Linked DNA regions of Elephas maximus indicus. Each later gene encodes a partner of the first gene's protein in a complex. Links are inferred from orthologs where the notes say so. Each region holds a gene or a part of one and is shown in the gene's direction. Other genes may lie near its edges.

Evidence for each region.
Region 2: INTS1 (region 1) and INTS9 share a complex: the UniProt entries of both Homo sapiens proteins name them as parts of the integrator complex. The link is inferred for Elephas maximus indicus from reciprocal best matches to the Homo sapiens genes INTS1 and INTS9.
Region 3: INTS1 (region 1) and INTS6 share a complex: the UniProt entries of both Homo sapiens proteins name them as parts of the integrator complex. The link is inferred for Elephas maximus indicus from reciprocal best matches to the Homo sapiens genes INTS1 and INTS6.

Annotation. Positions count from the first base shown.
Region 1 is NC_064830.1:95,830,967-95,837,605, reverse strand, and holds the start of INTS1 (integrator complex subunit 1), read left to right. Parts: upstream 1-2,529; 5' UTR 2,530-2,610; intron 2,611-2,911; 5' UTR 2,912-2,954; coding exon 2,955-3,012; intron 3,013-4,399; coding exon 4,400-4,690; intron 4,691-5,527; coding exon 5,528-5,724; intron 5,725-5,886; coding exon 5,887-6,024; intron 6,025-6,399; coding exon 6,400-6,559; intron 6,560-6,639. UniProt on the Homo sapiens protein: Component of the integrator complex, a multiprotein complex that terminates RNA polymerase II (Pol II) transcription in the promoter-proximal region of genes.
Region 2 is NC_064840.1:43,559,868-43,566,506, forward strand, and holds the start of INTS9 (integrator complex subunit 9), read left to right. Parts: upstream 1-3,098; 5' UTR 3,099-3,242; coding exon 3,243-3,251; intron 3,252-6,639. UniProt on the Homo sapiens protein: Component of the integrator complex, a multiprotein complex that terminates RNA polymerase II (Pol II) transcription in the promoter-proximal region of genes.
Region 3 is NC_064832.1:26,248,484-26,255,122, forward strand, and holds the start of INTS6 (integrator complex subunit 6), read left to right. Parts: upstream 1-2,624; 5' UTR 2,625-3,138; coding exon 3,139-3,249; exon of another isoform or gene 3,250-3,384; intron 3,385-3,429; exon of another isoform or gene 3,430-3,499; intron 3,500-3,675; coding exon 3,676-3,753; intron 3,754-4,573; coding exon 4,574-4,723; intron 4,724-6,639. UniProt on the Homo sapiens protein: Component of the integrator complex, a multiprotein complex that terminates RNA polymerase II (Pol II) transcription in the promoter-proximal region of genes.

The DNA of each region.
Region 1 (6,639 bases):
GTTTCTGTGATGTTGGGAGCTATTCTACCAGTACTTCAAATACCAGCGGGGTCACGCATGTGGTCAGGGTTCAGTGGTACTTTAAGACTAAGACAGACTAGGAAGAAAGGTCTTGCAATCTACTTCCAAAAATCAACCAATGAAAACCCTACAAATCACAACAGGATATTATCCAAAATATCACAAGTACCACAGCCTCCACTAGACTGAGTCCAGCACAACTAGACGGTGCCTGCCCACTGCCACTGGCTGCTCTGACAGGGATCACAGTAGAGGGTCCCAAACAGAGCTGGAGAGAAACGTAGAACAAAATTCTAACTCACACACACACAAAAGACCAGACTTACTAGTCTGACAGAGACTGGAGAAACTCTGAGAGTATGGCCCCCTGGACTCCCTTTTAACTCAGTAGTGAAGTCACTCCTGAAGTTCATCCTTCAGCCACAGATTAGACAGGCCCATAAAACAAAACAAGACTAAATAGGCACACCAGCCCAGGGGCAAGGATGAGAAGGCAGGAGGGGATAGAAAAGATGGTAATGGAGACGCGAGGTTGAGAAGGGGAAGGTGTTGACATGTTGTGGGGGTGGCAACCAACGTCACAGAACAATACGTATTTAAATTGTTTAATGAGAAACTGATTTGCTCTGTAAACCTTCATCTAAAATACAATAAAAAAAGAAATAAAAGAATATTGTCCGATATAGTGCTGGAAGATGAGCCCCCCAGGTTGGACCAAACCAAAACCAAACCCGTTGCCATCGAGTCGATTCCAACACATAGTGACCTTTTAAGGACAGAGTAGAACTGCCCCATAGGGTTTCCAAGGATCAGCTGGTGAATTCGAACTGCTGACCTTTTGGTTAGCAGCCAAGCACTTAACCACCATGCTACCTAGGTTGGAAAAAAAAAAATTTTTTTTTTTTAAGGCACTCAAAATATACAGTGGCCACAACAATGGACTCGAGAATACCAACAATCGTGAAGATGGCACAGGACCAGGCAACATTTCATTCTATTATATGTGGGGTCGCCATGAGTCGAAGTCTAGAGCAGCAAACAACAAGAGCAGTAACAAACATAACTTAGTTGATGAATTTTAATCCAATGACACACGTGCAGATGACGTATATCATGTGTGTGTATGTGTATATATGTACATTAAAAGAAACCAAACCCATTGCCGTCAAGTTGATTCCAATGCATAGCGACCCTAAAGGACAGAGTTGAACTGCCCCATAGGGTTTCCAAGGAGTGCCTGGTGGATTTGAACTGCCAACCTTTTAGTTAGCAGCTGTAGCTCTTAACCAGTATGCCACCAGGGTTCCCGTACGTATATATATCCATAGTACATCACTATAGGGAACCTGGATGGTGCAAGCAGTTTTTGATCAGCTGCTAACCTAAATGTTGGTGGTTCAAACCCACCCAATGGCACCATAGAAGAAAGGTCTGGCAGTCTGCTTTCATAAAAATTACAGTCAAGAAAGTCAGCTTTGACTCATGCAGACCCCATGTGACAGAGCAGAACTGCACGTAGGGTTTTCTAGGCTGTAATCTTTACAGACACAGATGCCAGAGAGAGATCTGTCTCTTCCATGAAGTGGCTAGTGGGTTCAAACCGCTCACCTTTCGGTTAGCAGCCTAGCATTTAACTGTTGCAACACCAGGGCTCCCTATAAAACCATTATAAACCAAAAACCAAACCCACTGCGTTGAATGGATTCCGACTCCTAGTGACCCACAGAGACTCTATAAGACGGAGTAGAACTGCCCTGTATGGTTTCCAGGGGGTAGTCTTTACGGAAGCTGACTGCCACATCTTCCTCCCACAGGAGGACTGGTGGGTTCCAACAGCCTACCTTTTGGTTAGCAGCCAAGGGCTTAACCACTGAGCAACCAGGGCTCCTTTATACCAATATATATAATGATAATTATATGTAATTTGGCTGAGAAATTTAAAGGTATCATACATTGAAGCCGTGGTGTGCAGTAGTTAAGCGCTCACTGTTAACGAAAAGGTAGGCTGTTCGAACTCACCAGCCACTCCGTGGGAGAAAGATGTGGCAGTCAGCTGCCGTAAAGATTAAGAAAAAAAAAAAGAGTACAGCCTTGGAAATCATATCGGACAGTTCTATTCTGTCCTATGGGGTCTCAGAGTCAGAATGACTGACTCCATGGCAACGGGTTTGGTTTTGTGGGTTGGAGCCCTCGTGGGTTAAGAGATTGGCTGCTAACCAAAAGGTCAGCAGATCGAATCTACTAGTTGCTCTTTGGAAACTCTGTGGGGAAGTTCTACTCTGTCCCATAGGGCTGCTGTGAGTCGGAATGGAATCCACTGCAATTTTTTTTTTTTTTTTCATGTACACGTACAGCGCGGCCCATCCAATTCCTGAAAGCACGCAGAGGCTGCAGTGCCCAATCGTCCTCCCCGCCATCAGAGGGCGCTGCAGACACTGCGCAGGCCCTGCGTGTCCCCTCTATCCTCTTCCACCCTTCTCCCGCCGCGCTGTTTTGTTTCCGGTTCCTCCGGAACTTCAAGCTCCGAAAGCGGGGAGTTTTGTTTCCAGCTCCGGGGCGGCCGGGGCTCCGGGTGGCGATGGACTGGAGGTGAGTGTTGGGTTGTTCCCTCCTGCCGCGTGGAGCGCGCCCCTCCCGGCCGGCTTCCCACCCTCCGCCAGGCCTGTTCTCTGCAGGCCTCCGCCGCTGCACCCTGTCGGCCTCGGTCCCGGGCCTGCGGGAGCCCCTTCTCCGGAGGCTCCATGCACACAGCTCAGGCAGCCCCCTGAGAAATTTTCTGCTGGCGGGGCCCGCGCCCAATTGTCCTCTGCTCTCCACGCCCTGTGCGGTAGGAGAATGAATGAATGAGCACGAAAATGAATGAATGACCGCCTGTTGGCTCTCTCCGCAGGTGACACACGAGCGGGTAGGAGCCGTGAGAGGACGGGGACAGAATGAACCGGGCCAAGACCGCCACGGTCCGGAGGCCCAGCGCTGCGGCTAAGCCTTCAGGCGAGTGGTTTCTTCCTGCCCCGGGGCTGCGGGGTCGGTGGGGGCTTCTCGGCTTTGCCAAGTAGCCCGAGTTGGAGCTTCGCTATTCTGCAGCGGAGGCTGCTTCCAGAAGGGGGTCTAGAAGAGTAGCTCTCAGATCGGGTTGACAACAGCAACGTGAGAGGTTGGGTAGAAATTTAAGGGGCAGTGTGTATGAGTCGGAATCGACTCGACGGCAGTGGGTTTGGGTGTTTATGTTACTGGGGGCGGAACAACTCAGAAAAGGACGCTGAGGTTGGTGCGCATAAACTGGAAGAATGCAATCAGTATTACTGAGTTGTATATGTAGGAACTGTTGACTTGGTATGTGTTCAACTGTGTATGTTTTCAAAAACACCAAAAATAAAATAAGTTATTGAAAAAAAAAGAACTGTATGGGATCAAATTGACAACAGCAGCTTGAGAGATTAGACGGGAAGTTTAGGGGACAGTGAGCTTATGTTTGTGGGGGAGGAACAACTCAGGAAAGGGTGAGAATGGTTGCACAGTTTGAAGAATGAAACCAATGTCACTGAATCGTACGTGTAGAAACTTGAATTGGTGTATGTTTTGTTGTCTGTGTTCTCAACAACAATAAAGAAATATGGAAACAAAAATAGCTGTCAGTCCTCAGGGGTGCTGGGAGCCCTAGACTTAGAACAGCTGTGACTTCCTACAGGGACTAGGTTTCTTGTTTCATGCTGTGCCTGGAGGCAGGTGGCAGCCTCAGGTGGTCGTTAGATGTAGACTCTGGAGCTGACTCCCTAGATTCACATCCCATCTTTGCCTCTCCCCTGTTGTGCCACACTGGGCATTTTACTTCACCTCTGTGTGTCTTGTTTTCCTCATCTGTAAAAGGAGAGTGGGTTAGTTGCCATCAAGTCATTTCAATTATGACAACCTCACGTATATGGAATAGAACTGCACTCAATAGGGTTTCCAAAGCTGTGACCTTTCGGAAGCAGATCGCCAGGCTTTTTTTCCACGGTACCTCTAGGTGGGTTCAGACTGCCAAGCTTTTGGCTAGTAGTCGAGCACTTAACCATCTGTACCATCCAGGGACTCTTTAAATGAGAGTCTTTGTTATCGTTAGTTGCTGTCAGTCGATTTATTACCTATTTCAGAAACGTGTTGAGAATTAAATGAACTAATGCTTCTAAACGACTTAGAGGTGGCATGCTGTGTAGTGAGCACTGTGTAACTGAGTCAGCACTGTACCAGATCCAGCCCTGCTGTTAACCTCAGCTTGTTGGTTGCCTTTTTGGACTCTTGTCTACTCGCCTCTGAAATAACAGGAAGCTGAGTCCAGTCTCTGAGAGTCTTTTCTACCTCGGGCATTATGTAAGCATGCAACCTGTTTTCTCTGCAGGACACCCTCCACCAGGAGATTTCATTGCCCTGGGCTCAAAGGGACAGGCCAATGAATCGAAAACAGCATCCACCCTGCTGAAGCCAGCCCCTTCCGGCCTGCCTTCAGAGCGCAAGCGGGATGCTGCGGCCGCGTTATCTGGTGCCTCGGCACTGACTGGCCTCACCAAACGCCCCAAACTCTCGTCCACACCCCCACTGAGTGCTCTAGGGCGCCTGGCTGAGGCCGCGGTGGCAGAAAAACGAGCTATTTCTCCATCGATTAAGGAACCATCTGTGGTCCCGATTGAAGGTAAAATCAGTCCCTGGACTTCTCTAGGGAAAGTAGGTATACCAGGTCACCAGCAGGGGTTCAGTGGCAGCCACTTCTAGGCTTAGCACTGTATGGGGTCCTTTTTGCTTTGGGAAAACCAGTTGCCGTTAAGCCAACTCTGGCTCATGATGAGCACACGTGTATCAGGGTACAAACTGTGCTGCACAGGGTTTTCAAGGCCACAGCCTTTCGGAAGTAGATCACCAGGTCTTTCTTCTGAGGTGCCTCTGGGTGGACTTGAACCTCTAACCTCTTGTTTATCAGCTGAGCATGTTGACCACTTGCACCACCCAAGGACTCCTTGGATGAAATAGAAGTCGCATTTGCCCATGCCCTTTTAGGGCTGTGCTGTGGTTGTCTCCCTGTGCGCGTAGAGCTGCCTGGGGAGGCGACGTGCTCATCAGTGGCCGAGTGCACCTGACATTCCTTCTTGCTGATGACCTGCCCCGGGTTCCCGAGGCTTTGGGGTCTGGTGGGCATCTCCATGGCTGTCTCTCCTCTGACCGGAGCTCTGGCCACTGCCAGTCCTGCCCACAGTGCTGTTGGAGGAGCTTGAGGCAGGGGGGCTGGTGGGCATCTCCGTGGCTGTCTCTCCTCTGACCGGAGCTCTGGCCACTGCCAGTCCTGCCCACAGTGCTGTTGGAGGAGCTTGAGGCAGGGGGGCTGGTGGGCATCTCTGTGGCTGTCTCTCCTCTGACCGGAGCTCTGGCCACTGCCAGTCCTGCCCACAGTGCTGTTGGAGGAGCTTGAGGCAGGGGGGCTGGTGGGCATCTCCGTGGCTGTCTGTCCTCTGACCGGAGCTCTGGCCACTGCCAGTCCTGCCCACAGTGCTGTTGGAGGAGATTGAGGCTGCTGAGCTGGAGGGCAATGACGAGCGCATCGAGGGTGTGCTGTGTGGGGCGGCCAGGCAGCTGCGGCTCACGCGGGCCAAGCCTGACAGCACGCTCTACCTCAGCCTCATGTACCTGGCCAAGATCAAGCCCAACATCTTTGCCACAGAGGGCGTCATTGAGGTAAGAGTGGCCCCCTGTCCTGGGAGGGGGCTGGACCCTGTGGCCATGCCCCCTTCTCCACTTTCCTCCAGTGGCCCCTCTGGAATCATACCCACTGGCCTCTGGCGCAGGGGGAGACGGGAGCCTCTGCTCCCCTGGGTAACCCAAGCCCGCCTTGCCCAGGCGCTGTGTAGCCTCCTGCGTCGCGATGCCTCCATCAACTTCAAAGCCAAGGGGAACAGCTTGGTCTCTGTGCTGGCCTGTAATCTCCTCATGGCTGCCTACGAAGAGGATGAGAACTGGCCTGAAATCTTTGTCAAGGTGGGTCTGCCTTCTGGCCAGGTTCCTGCTCTGGTGGTGACCAGAACAGAGTACCGGGTAGGGGGTGGTGGCCTGATGGAGCGCAGGGAGGAGAAGGAGCACACGGGCCTGAGAGCAGAATGCGGAGGCTGCTATTGGAGCACTGGGAGAAGGAGCCCAAGGCCTGTCCTCCACTGCCTGCTCCCTCCAGAGAGCTATTTCTGGCAGCTCCAGCACTGATCCTCCCAGGTGGTCACACTGCTGGGCACACGAGAAACAACTCAGCTTGATCCCTGCTGAGGCAGAGGTGGGGCTGGGCCCAGCAACCTGGAGTGCCGGGGGCAGAGAATATGTCTGCAGGTGTGGACTCAGCTGGCCGGGGCTCTGTCCCTACAGGTGTATATCGAGGACTCCCTGGGTGAGCGCATCTGGGTGGACAGCCCACACTGTAAGGCCTTTGTGGACAACATCCAGACAGCCTTCAACACCAAGATGCCTCCTAAGAGCGTGCTGCTGCAGGGGGAGGCGGGGCGCGGCGGGGGAGACCTCAGTGCCGGTGAGGGGCTGTGAGGCTGGGAGAGGGTGAGCTTTTCTAGTGTGAGGGGGAGGGCTGTGCCCACCTTCCTCCCAGGCCCA
Region 2 (6,639 bases), on another chromosome or scaffold:
CAGTGCTTAAAATGCAATGGAATCACTCCAGCGAATGCAAGGAATATATCTAGTTTGCATTTAATGATGTCAACCAGAGTACTAGTGAGAATAAGTTTCATGAAAGTTTTTCCCGTAACTTTGCATTTCCAAAGAATAAAAACAAAAAGAATAAATCCAACAAAAAATTGCTAAGCTAACGGTAGGTGGAAGAGAAAACATTCTTATATTTTTCTGACTCTTAACAAGCATTTGAGGTATTTTTCTAAAATAATTATTAAACATTTTAAAACTCTATGACTACCAGAATATCTTCGAGCAAAGAAAAAACAACAAAAAAAAAAACACTCTATTATACAGTTATATAGGATTTCTCTTCAGTTTTTGCAAAGTAATGTTTCACATTAAGATCCAAGGTTAAAACAGATAATTCTGGAAATCCTATCTATACCAAACTAAAGTCTCAGCTTTGCATCAACATATACTATAAATTCGAGATTTAAAAAATATCAATTTTTTTTGTCAGGTCCATCAGCTTAACTGCATGAATGACCAACTGCAGAAATTTCAAATCAAAGGTTATAAAACATCCCATAAAATTACATACTGTATCTGTGTGGAGTTCAGTTTTTATAGAATCTAGGGTCTCTTATGATAGGTGGCAGTTTTAAGAATCAGTAAGTTTGGGGTCATATGTAAATGTATTAAATTCTCAACAGTCTAAATAGAAATTATTACAATTCCTTTGGTTATTGAAAAGCCCATTACACTAAAAAATAGTCACATAAGAAGGCATACTAAAGAACTTCTATTTCAAATGGAAATACAAAATAAACGCTCTTAAATTCTCCTTTTGTAGTGTTATTGAATATAAAAGACTGAGAAACAAGAGATGTTGCAATCCTCTTCCCTTCACAGCTCTAAACGAAACTAACAAAAAATCAGAATTCAAATTTTTCAGAATTCAAAATTTCCAAACTTGATTTATAAACATAATTCAACTACATCTAACAACTTAGTTGCTCAATTTAAAAATAAGTTTAACGCAAAGCACTGCAATCCTTACGTGGCAATTACCTGTGGCATAAATGCAAAATAAAAACAAATGCAAAATCTTTTCATCTAGTGATGCCTCTTACAGTATAAACAACAAAAAAGCACAACCATATTGGCACAAACTAAATAAAAAGGCTCAGGAGGCATTATGTCCATCCAAATGCCAGGGAAGAAAGGAAGGAGTTTCTACACCTGCAGGATTCCATGGAAATAAACTGGTCACATCACTCTACCCTATGTGATACATGAGGGTTTTAAAGCTATTTTAAGGTAAATAAAAACAGCAATTACTTCATATCATTCAACTTCACATAGTACGGTATCTTCAAGGCCAACTGCATTCTTTCCTTCACTCACTCTTCCACACCAGCTTTCAGGCAAATGCGAGGCAGAATAGGGTGGGGTAGAAGAAAAATACAAGCAGCGCCTTTCAGCTGCCCCCCAAATAATTTCCAATAGCTTTTCCTGCCACGAAAATAAGTCGCCCTATCTCAAGATACACAACAATCATTCTGTATCTTCAGTAGACACGCACAGACACATACACAATTCAGCACTCCGTATGCCCACCCCACGCCCCAAAATCTTAATTATTAATATATTTAACACGAAGGCGGCGAGACACCTCTACCTACTGTTTCGGGGTGAGGGTGGGTGGAGGACTCCTTTCAAAGTAGCCCCAAGAGTGTAACCAAAACACGGTTCCGGAATAAAATATTAAGAACACTTTTCCTTTCCCACCTAGCTACTGACTTAAGTATGCAAAAATCCATCTCCAAACCACATCATCTCTACAATTCTCCTGCCGGGAGTTTGGGGTGGAGATGCGTCCAGAGGAGGGGGCGGAGACGGGGAAGAGGAGTGTGAGCGGGCAATCCTACACAAACGAGTTGCTAACCCCAGCTACCCAGCACCACGTCGTCAGCCAAACGTCCAGGAGCAGGACCTCACACACGCTACTCAGCCCAGGCCCCGTTAAAAGCTATGTTTCTAGCTATCTAACTTCTTATCTTTAGACATTTATGCAATACAAATATATCACACAAGTACCCGTAACACAGTTTAAACCACAGTAATACAAACCAACACACCTCAAAATCACGTCAGTTTCCCAAACTCCAAACAGAAGACCCCCCCCCCAACTCCCGGATTCAAACCTTCCGCCCACCGTGGCGGTAACAAGGAAAAAAGAGTTGGGGAGAAGCCGACGCCTTTCAATTAATGCACCCTATAAACTGCCCCACCCCATATCCTGCGTCCAGGTCAATTACTCGGAAGCCCCTGCTTTCTCCCTCCTCTCAAACCGGCCGCTTAAGAGACCCTTCCCCATCCCACTCACTTTCTCCCCAAAGCCTCTGGGGGAAAATTTTAAAAGTAAAGAGAAACAAGTGAGGGAAGAGACTTGAAGTAGTCCGGTTTCAAACTGCTCGACTCACCTCAGAATCCTCGCTGAGTTCTCTCCGCCCGGCACAGCCCCCTCCCCAACGTCCCAGTACGAAAAGCTGAGATAGGAAGGAGAAAGCGGGAGGGGGAGGGGTGTCTTCCGCGTGGGGAGCCCGGCGGGTGGGGGCTGGGGAGGGTTTGAGGCCCGCACAGGAAGAGGAAAGGGAGGAGGGGAGGCCGGTATCTCCCAGTCTCCCCGTGAAAACCTCCCTTGCCTCAATCACATCAGACTGACTGTCTTTGTCTGGCTGACAACCGCCATATTGATATCAACAGCCCCGCTCCCACCTGCTGCCGCCGGGCAGCCCTGGGAGTTGTAGTTCCTGCCTCCCTTGAGTAAAAGCTTGGGACTCCGCATCTAGACACCTCGGAGAACTACAGCTCCCGGCAAGTCCCGCATCCATTAGCCGGCCCACAGGGAGGAGGAGAAAGGGGAATCCAGACCCACCGGGACTACACCTCCCAGAAAACTATGTGTCCCAGGCCCATATGGGGGACAAGATATCATGATGGGGTGAAGAGGGAGGATGAAGAGACGGCGAGGATGACGGAAGAAGGAGTTCAGGGAAAAAAAGAAAATATGACCACAGTTCCCATGATGCATCTAGGGATGACTACATTTCCCATGATTCCTGGGGCGTGGGATGGTGGGAGACGGCCTGTCCCGTAATGCTCTGTGCAGGTTGGTGGCGGAGATTGAACCGGAAGACGCATTCTGGGTCTGAGGAGTCGAGTGATTGCTGTTGAACAGCCTGAAGTCCAATATGAAACTGGTGAGTTTCCACTCCTAGGTCAGAGGGCAAAGGTGATACCATATCCTTTTGGACTTCGTGGTTTCCACCTTGCGAAAGGAACCGTCGCGGAGGAGGGATGGCTTTTTCGGAACAGGAATATGGGGTAGACTAGGGAAATCTGCTTTTTGTAGTCGAGTAGGTCGGAATCCTCACCCTTATCCACTCCACCATGCCCCTTAAAACAGCACGGAGAACTTTTTCACTCATTGTCAGGTCAGATAAGAGGTTGACTGTCTCATTTCTTCACCTGTGAGCTAGGATTGGAGCATAGTCACCTATGACTTCTGAGCTTCCACGTGAGTATTATAATAGGCACACTGGTTGATACATGTTTAGCTCTTCTCCCTGCTGAAGCGAGTAGAAGATACTAGGCAGAACGTAATCACTTATTAAGTTTCCTGTTATAGTTTAATTATAATTGCCCTTTGAATTCAGAGAAGGAAATCAGCGTGTGATCTTGCAGGATTTGAGTTTTAAACCCTGTATAGGATTTGGATGGGCAGAGAGGAAGTGTCAAGACATTCCGGTCTAGGGCTGTAGAGATTGCATGAACAAAGGTTAGGTGGAAAATGCTAGTATACCTAGAGAAATCCTTGAATCACAGAGCTCCAGTAGCTTCTCAGATCTTTATTTTCACTCTTTACTTTTATTGTGAGTTAATTCCAACCCTATTGAATTAGTAATAGCACAATTAGAATAGGAAGGTAGCTGTGAAACACTGCTTCTCAATCTTAAAATCCTGCAACCAAGTTGTCAAGCTTCATCCATTGCCATCAAGTCGATTCTGACTCATAGCAACTCTATAGGACAGAGTAGAACTGCCTCATAGGGTTTCCAAGGCTGTAATCTTTATGGAAGCAAACTGCCACATCTTTTTCCCGCAGAGCAGCTGGTGGGTTCAAACTGCTGATTCTTTCTGTTAGCAACGGAGCACTTAACCACTGTGCCGTCAGGGCTCCTTTGTCAAGCTTTACTTTCTGTAATTTCTATACAAAAACAAATGGTTTGTTTTTCCTTTTATATAACTATTTGAGTATGCTTTTCGAAAGTACATAGCACCCATTTGATAATCATGCTACAGGCATACGCTCTGCAAAGTGGCAACTGTTTGCAGGGTGGAAGTCAGAGAAGGTATTAAAAGTAGATTCAACTCCAAAACTGTCTCCATTTAAAGCTGTTTATGTAAATTATTGTTAATACTATTGTTGCAGGACTGTCTATACTATAGTAGTTATGGTAGTTGCCCTTTATTCGCACGCTCATCTCAGTGTCCCCTTTTGCTTTGGTCACGTTCTGCTGAGTTTTCCCATATTATATATTGCTTTTCCCTTCACCAGTGTTAAGTCGTTCCTACTATATCTTTCCATCTACTACCTCTTTGGTAATTTTTCCTCCCTCCCTCTACCATCCCTGGTAACCATAAAAGAACCTACCTTCCTTCCTTCCTCCCTCCTTCCCTCCTTCCCTCCCCTCCTCCCTTTCATCCTTCCTTCCTTCCTTTTCCTTTCCTTTTTTCTGTGTGTAAGCCTTTTCTTCTTTATAAAATCAGTATCAAACAATATTTGTCTTTTTACGATTGACTTATTTTACTCACTGTATGGTGTGAGGTATGGATCCTGTTTCATTTTTCTACAGATACATATCCAGTTTTGCCAGTACCATTTGTTGAAGAGACCGTCTGTTTCCCATTCAATAACCTTTGGTCTTTTGTCGAAGATGAGCTGTCTATAGGTGGATGAATTTACTTCTCCGTTCTCAATTCTGTTCCATTGGTCTATGTTGTTGTCCCAGCACCAGGCTGTTTCAACTACCATAGCTGTATAGTAGGTTCTGAAATTAGGTAATGTGAGATCTCCCACTTTGTTCTTCTTTTGAAAAGCTTTATTATTCAGGGTCTCTTTCCATTCTGTATAAAGCTAGTGATTAGTTTTTCCATCTCACTGAAGAATGCTGTTGGGAATTGGATCAGGATTGCATTATATCTGTATATCGCTTTGTGTAGCATTGACATTTTCACAACGTTTACTCTTCCTATCCAAGAGGCATGGTGTATTTTTCCATTTATGTAGGTCTCTTTTGTTTTCTTGCAGTAGTGTTTTGTAGTTTTCTTTGTAGATGTCTTTATGTCCCTGGTTAGATTTATTCGTAAGTATTTTATCTTTTGGCGGGGGTTATTATAAATGGTATTGTTTTCCTGATTTCGTTTTCAAAGTTCTCTTTGTTGATGTAGAGGAATCTAACTGATTTTTGTATGTTGGTCTTTTATCCTACCACTTTGCTGAATCTTTCTATTAGTTCCAGTAGCTTTCTTGTGAAATCTTTAGGATTTTCTATGTATAGGATCATAAAACCAAAAATCAAACCTGTTGCAGTCGAGTCAATTCCGACTCATAGCGACCCTATCGGACAAAGTAGAACTGCCCCATATCGTTTCCATGGAGTGCCTGGTGGATTCGAACTGCCCACCTTTTGGTTAGCAGCCGTAGCTCTTAACCACTTATGCTACCAGGGTTTCCTGTATAGGATCATATTATCTGCCAATAGGGATAGTTTTACTTATCCCTTACTGATTTGGAGGTTTATTTCGTTTTCTCACTTTATTGCTAGGACTTCCAATACAGTGTTGAATAAGAGTGGTGATAAAGGATACCCTTTACTGGTTCCCATTCTCAAGGGGAATGCTTTCAGATTCTCCCTGTTGAGAATAATGTGGGTTGTTGATTTTGTATAAATTCCCTTTATTATGTTGAGGAATTTCCCTTCTATTTCTATTTTATTGAGAGTTTTTATCAGGAATGGCTGTTGGATTTTATCAAATGCCTTTTATGTGTCAATTGAGATGATCATGTGATTTTTTTTTCCTTTGTTTTGTTTATGTGGTGAATTAAGGTGATTGATTTTCTAATGTTGAACCATCCTTGCATGCCTGGTGTGAATCTCACTTGGTCGTGATGTATTTTTTTTTTTCCTTACATATGCTTTTGAATTCTATTGGCTAGAATTTCATTGAGAAGTTTTGCTTCTGTATTCATGAGGGATATTGGTCTGTAGTTCACTTTTTTAGTGATGAATTTTTTTTTTTTTTTTAACCAGCATTTGGTATCAGGGCTGGCTTCATAGAATGAATTCTAGAATATTCCTTCCATTTTTGTGTTCTGGAATAGTTTGTGTAGAACTGGTGTCAGCTCTTCTCTGAATGTTTGGTAGAATTCTCCAGTAAAGCTGTTGGGCTGGGGCTTTTTTTGGTTGAGAGTTTTTTCACGACCCCTTCAATTTCTTCTTTTGTTACAGGTCTGTTCAAATTGTTGACGCCATTTTGTGTTAGTTTATGCAGGTAGTGTATTTCTAGGTATTTGTCCATTTCTTT
Region 3 (6,639 bases), on another chromosome or scaffold:
TTCTTTTTTTTTTTTTACCAGCAGCTTCCCCTTCCTCTACTCATATATCCCAAATCCTACCGATCCCTTAAAGCAGTGTTTCTCAAACCTATATACAAAATACTGAATATTGTAACTGCCCCCACATGGCTTCCCAGGCTGAAATCTTTACAGGTAGGTCTTTTCTCCCACAAAGTAGCTGGTAGGTTCCAATATCCCATTTTTTGGTTAGCAATTGAGTGCTTTAACCATTGTGCTGCCAGGGCTTCTTGAATAATGTATTAATGCAATGTAAATTCTTATGATCCTATAAAAAAATAACAAAAATACAAACTAAACCCGTTGCCATCATGTCAATTCCAGCTCATAGTGACCCATAAGACAGAGCAGAACTGCCTCATAGGGTTTCCAAGGAGTGGCTGGTGGATTATAAATCCCGGACATTTTGGATAGCAGACAAGCTCTTAACCACTGCACCACCAAGCCTCTCTTATGAGGATACAATTTGAGACAGGCAGGGAGGGATCTGCAGACTTTGAAAACACTGATAATAGAAACTACAGACCTATACTCTGAATATGTCCATCATTCTGAAAGAAAAATTGTCTTTATAACTGGCCGCGTAATTTATATATTGTCATAAAAAATGAAAACAAAAATTTGAAAGTATCATAGAACATAATTCTTATCTCTGGGTCTAGGATTCCAGTTTCAGAAATACTTCTTTATGTTGCACCTTAAACATACTGACCCTAGGAAATGTTCTTTCATCACCACAATATATATTTCTTTTCTCTGAATTACTTAGTATCTAGTCACTTTATGCCTTATGTATGTCATCTTTTTCTAGAAAACCATAAACTCTGTGAAGGCAGGGACCATATTTTATTTATTTCTTATCTTCTCCATACTAAGACCATAAGGTCACATTGAGTCAGAATAGACTCGAAGGCATCGAGTTTATACTAGGATCAAACTTGATTAACTTTTTATCTCCAGCACACCTAGTACAAGGTAGGTCCTCAGCAAATATTGGCTATAGGGCCTGTATTCCATCTTCTTCCTATTTCACAGTTCAAATCTCAAAAATATGACACCTCTTCCATGGTACATAATCACAGAGCAGCATTATTACTGAAAAAGCTCTAACATAAATGAACAGATTTCTGAAGCTGTCGTAAAGATTAGGAAAAGCCCAATTTATAAAACTTAATTTTTTTAAAAGTGCCACATAGCATCTCTTCTGTGGTTAACAATATCAACAATTTCTCTAAATGAGCAGTAAGCAAATAAGAATTTCGGAATAGAATTAAAAAATTCAGGCAATGCAAGGCTAGTAGGAAAGGCCCGATTAATAGCTACATTTTAGAAGGTCCTATGTCCCCAATCCAACTTGCATTTAAGACAGTGTCTTCAGTGTTTCAACTCGTGTCTTGGAGGACACTATCCCTCGGACATTTAGGAGAAGCTTCATTACCTCAGGTAGGATGAGAGAGACTCGCGTTAGAACTTCTTCCCTCTACGGTATTTGGGTCAAGCGTGAGAGGGCACCATATTGAAAGAGCACTAGCAGGGTTATGGGAACCCATTTTGTGTTATCCCGGCAAGCCAAAGGCAATTTTTTCACGTGTAAAATATTGGTAATGCATTACGGTCGTTGGGGTCCTTTTCAATTCTGATATGCAGATTTTGCTATTTATTCTACGGCCCAACGTAAACGCGGCTTGTGCAATGTAATTCTGGGGGTAGGCCCAGTTATTCTTCTCCCGAGTAAAAAGGGGAACTACGGAAATCGGAATCTTCTCCCAGGGTTTTTCGGGGTTGGGTTAGGAGAGAGGGTTTGTTGCCCTTCTGAGGGGTCCTCAACAAGACGGAGCCCGGCCTGCCCCGGCTCCAGCCCTCGCCCTCGGTCGCTCCCCAGGCCGAGGGAGGCTCCGCGCGAGGTTCGGGCCCTCGTCCCCACTCCCCAGCGGGAGCGGTGTGACTCGCGGAGATCAGTCCCTGGTCATAAACAACCTCTCACTTCCCCTCCCCCGCTCCGGACCCGCCCGCGCTGGGGCCGGCCCTCCCGGTCCAAGGAACCTCCTCCGGCGACCGCGGACCCGAGCCACCTCGGGGGGGCGACCGCGGGTCCGACGCTTGTGCTCATCGGGTGTCCGGGCACTTTACTCATCCTCTCCTCACTCGCCCCCCGGGGAAGGGGTTCACTACAACGACCTCGGAGGGCAGCTGAAGCCAGCCTGCATCTCCCTTTCCCCGACCCCTAACACCTCCAAGAGCCAAGGGCAGGCCGGCGCCCTGACGCGCAAGAGCGCGGCGGCCCTGCGCGCGCCGACGCGGCCCCCTCCCCCACCTCGCGGCCCTTCCGCGGTCCGTCCCCGCCCCTTCCCGGAGCCCGCCTCCGCGTCGGCCCGCCCGCCTGCTCGCCCCTCGCGCGCGTACCCGACGCCCCGCCTCCGCGCGTGCTCAATAACTGTCCCCAGAGCCGGCCTAGGAACTTCCCCCGCCCCTGAGCTGTTTAAATATGCTAATGAAAGGTTAGGGGCTAGCCAATAAAACAGCGGGGCGGTGCATCACGTGGCTCGGGGACGTGTCAGGGGGCGGAGCCTCTGCAGCCCCTGCCCGAGTTAAAACCGGAGTGTGAGAGAGAAAAGCGCTTCAGTAGCGAGAGGGGCCGAGAAAGTGGTGACACCGCTGGGGTGCAGAGGGAGTCCCTGAAACTTCTCCCAACAGCCCCAGGGCCAATCTCCCCTCAGCCCACTCCCCCCTTCGCCAGCTCCCAGGTCCCCACTCCCTGCACCGGGGGTGGGGTGGGGAGCCAGGCCCGTCTCCCGCTGGGACACACACAGGGGCCGGGAGCGGGGACGGGACCCCCGAGGTAGGGGGGACGGACCGACAAACAGACGGCCGGGAGCCCGGCCCAGCGGGCAGGCAGGCAGGAGGAGGCGGAGGCGGGGGTACGACGGGGAGGACTGGGTCTGGGGAGTTTCCTCTTAACTATCGGGGGAGAAACTCCCCGCAGCCGGAGGAAAGACCCAGACGGTGTTTTCCTCCCGGGGGCCGCGCTCCCCGCCCCGCGTAGCGGCGGTCGCCGCCACCGGCGCCGACACCTACCGTCTTCCTCCACCACCTCGGGCCCCGGTGTCCCCGGCCAGCACTATGCCCATCTTACTGTTCCTGATAGACACGTCTGCCTCTATGAACCAGCGCAGCCATCTGGGCACCACCTACCTGGACACGGCCAAAGGCGCGGTAGAGACCTTCATGAAGGTACCGACTGACCGAGCCCGGGCGGCGACCCCGGCCCGGCGGTCCGCGGGCGGCAGGGGTGGGGGAGGGCGGCTGGGGGCGGCGAGGCGGAGGTGTCGGGGACCTGACTGCGGGAGCTGCCGGCCTCGGGGACCCCCTCCCCCACCGCGCGGGCGGGCGGGCGGCGGGCGGCGGGCGGCGGGCGGGCGCTGCGAGCCGGGCTCGGCCCGGGAGCCGGCTGCGGCCCCGGACCCGGTTGCGGCCCCGGGCGGTGTGTGGGGACCGATCTGTGTGTGGGGGGCGACGTGGAGGGGTGGCCGCTGCGTGTGCGGTACTGTGGGGGGGCGGCGGGGCCGCTCGACGCCCCTTCTCCGCCCGTAACCTCGCCTCTGTGCTTCCCTCTCGCCCGCCCTGTTCCTCTCCCCGTCCCCCGTCCGCTCTCCGCAGCTCCGTGCCCGGGATCCCGCCAGCAGAGGAGACAGGTACATGCTGGTCACTTTCGAAGAGCCGCCCTATGCTATCAAGGTAACAGCCCTCGCCCTCCCCCCTTCCCTTCCCTTCCCGGTTCCTTCCTCGCTCGCCCTCCCCGCCCCCCGTCCACCCTTCATTATGCTCCCCTCCCCCACCCGCCGCTCTCCCGGCCCCGAGGCTTCTTCCCCTGAGGGCTCCCACCCCCTCCCCCGCTCTGGATCGTCCCGGCGCGGCGCGGAGTCGCCAGGCCATCGCCGTCCCCTCCCGGGCCCGGCCCGCGGCGGCGGCGGCGGCGGCGGCGCTGCGATCAACATGGCCGACATTTCCCCTCCGCGGCGTGAGCGGCAGCAATGAACTGTGGGGGATATTTATTCAAGTTAGCCGGAGTGACAGCCGGGCCGGCGGCGCAGCCCCGTCCGCATGAAAGGGGGCTCGGCCCGGGGCTCGGCCGCGCCGGCTCGCCCGGGGCTCGGGCTGGGGCGTGGGGGAGCGGGGGTCTGCGGCGCTGGGGCTCTGGATGGCTCCTGAGAGGGCCACAGGCTAGTGGGACAGCTGTAGGCTGACTTCAGAAGTCCAGTTTCCTCTGCTCTGCGCTGCTGCCTTCACATCCTGAAATTTGGGGTGTGAGAGAGTCAGCTCCCCAGTAAAGTTGTGAAGTGTGGCAGCTGGTAATGACCAGAAGCTATAGAGCAAGAAGGTTTATTCTGGCGAGCTTTGGAGGGGAGTTTCCTCAGCAGTGACACACAACAAACAAGTTAACCATGTTGTACTGTAAAGTGAAGCAGCTACTTGGCGAGCATCAGATTATAACGGCTGCCCGTGTGTGCATGGCTTTGAAAGATGAAAAAAAAAATTCTTACATTTTTCTTTTCAGGCTGGATGGAAAGAAAACCATGCAACGTTTATGAATGAACTGAAAAACCTTCAGGCTGAAGGACTTACGACTCTTGGCCAATCCCTAAGGACAGCTTTTGATTTATTAAATTTAAATAGATTAGTAACTGGCATAGACAACTATGGGCAGGTAGGTTGAATATTAAGGTGGAAAAATAGCTGATTTTTCTTTTTGTGGAAAAACACATTCCAGTCCTAAACCTATATGTAAAATATAAGTATGAAACATTTCAGATTAAAAGAAAATATATGCACGTAACACAAATGTGAAACCCTCAACATACTCAGTATAGTTTTGTATCCCTCATATTTTTGCTTAAAACGCACTTGAATTCAGAATTAGAGCCAGAATCCTTTGCTAAAAATTGAGTTGTCGTGAATGTGGTTTTAATCCCTTGAAATTCATTTGGTACATTAAAGTGGAAACCTCCTGCCTCACCATACTCAGTAACGAACCGCTGCAGGCGAATGTGCAGCCACTGCAGTGGCCTACAGACACCAGCTGGTCAGTGGTCCCCATTTCTGTATCAGTCAGGACAAATATTAGGAAACTGTTCTCTGTGTTGCATCAGGGTGTAATTTAACCATATTGTTTAACTATTCTGAAAGCTCAGATTTTCATTGGGGTGCAATACCTGGTTGAGTACATTAAGATTTCTCAGTTTTTCAAGCATACACAATTAGCAACTATTGAAGGAGATTTTTTTTTTTTTATTATAAACCCTTGGAAAAGAGGCTGTCTGGAAAATAATGAAAGAACCCACTCTTAACCCCTAAAGCCCTCTATTGCACCTGCAGCTCGTCTGTTTAAGGATGAGACAAGACTTCCATGCAGCTTTAAATCACATGGTGGTTCACTGTGGAATAATGCAAGGTGGTCCATTATAACTTTTTAACGAGATCACTGGCCTGGAAAATAAAAGATACTGAAGAATATGTAATGTGACACATAACAAAGGGCTGTTAAACCCAGTGAGTTTCCTGTGTCGTAGTGAAGAGCACTGTCACCACCATGGTATACTTAGATGTACATTTTTTCTTTTCCCAGTTCCACAGCCACAATTGTCATGAGTTTCTACTTTTACCGAATTGCACGTCCATTGTTTAATTAGGTAAATGTGTATTTTCTTACATTACTTTCCCCCCCTTTCTGTGCTGCTTCATGTTGCAACTTTCAGTAATTTAGGTAGATTTGCCATGAACTCTTCAATTTATTTCTGTAAAATAATCATAGATTTCTTTCCCTTTCATATCCAGTTGTTATATGTGGTGATACACAATCTTAATGCTTAAGGTTTTTATCCAACCTTCTTTGACTTCAAAGAAAAACTCAAAACTTGCCATTGCTTGATTATTTGTCAGGTTGTCAGTGGGTAGCACAGAAGGAGCCCTGGTGGTATAACCATTAAGCGCTCGGCTGCAAACCAAAAGGTTGGTGGTTCAAACCATCCTGGCCGTCTGCTCCCGTAAAGATTACAGTATAGAAAACTGTATGGGGTAGTTCAACTCTGTCACATGGGGTTGCTGTGAGTCGAAAATCGACTTGATGGCACCTAACAACAGTGTATTGCACAACTGTTAATTTCCTGTCTTTCTGCCTACACATTCACTTCCTACGACCTATTAAAAATATTTAGGGTCCTTCCTCAGGAAAACTCATTGTCATGGTGAGGCTGAGAACATTTTTAACTTAAGCCTGTATTTTCCTTTCCCCAATTGCCATTTTCTACAAGAGAACACATTAGTTCTTGTCTAAAGCTTATGTAATAAAACCTGTGAAAGCTGGAACCTGTGTAAGACAGAATCCTGTCAGAGAAGAAAAAACTCAAAACAATTTCCACTAACAGAGAGTGATAGAAAGTGGTAAGACACCCTGTCAAGGTGGAAAACTTGCAAGACCTGGAGAAAGCATGCAGTTCTGGCTTTCACAGGTTGCACTGTAAACAGCTTGAGGTTGAAGGTGGTCCTGCTGTTACCACTTTGACCAGACAAGAGCCTGCAGATTAGGATTTTTTTTTGCACATTAGGGTTTATCAATTCCATAAG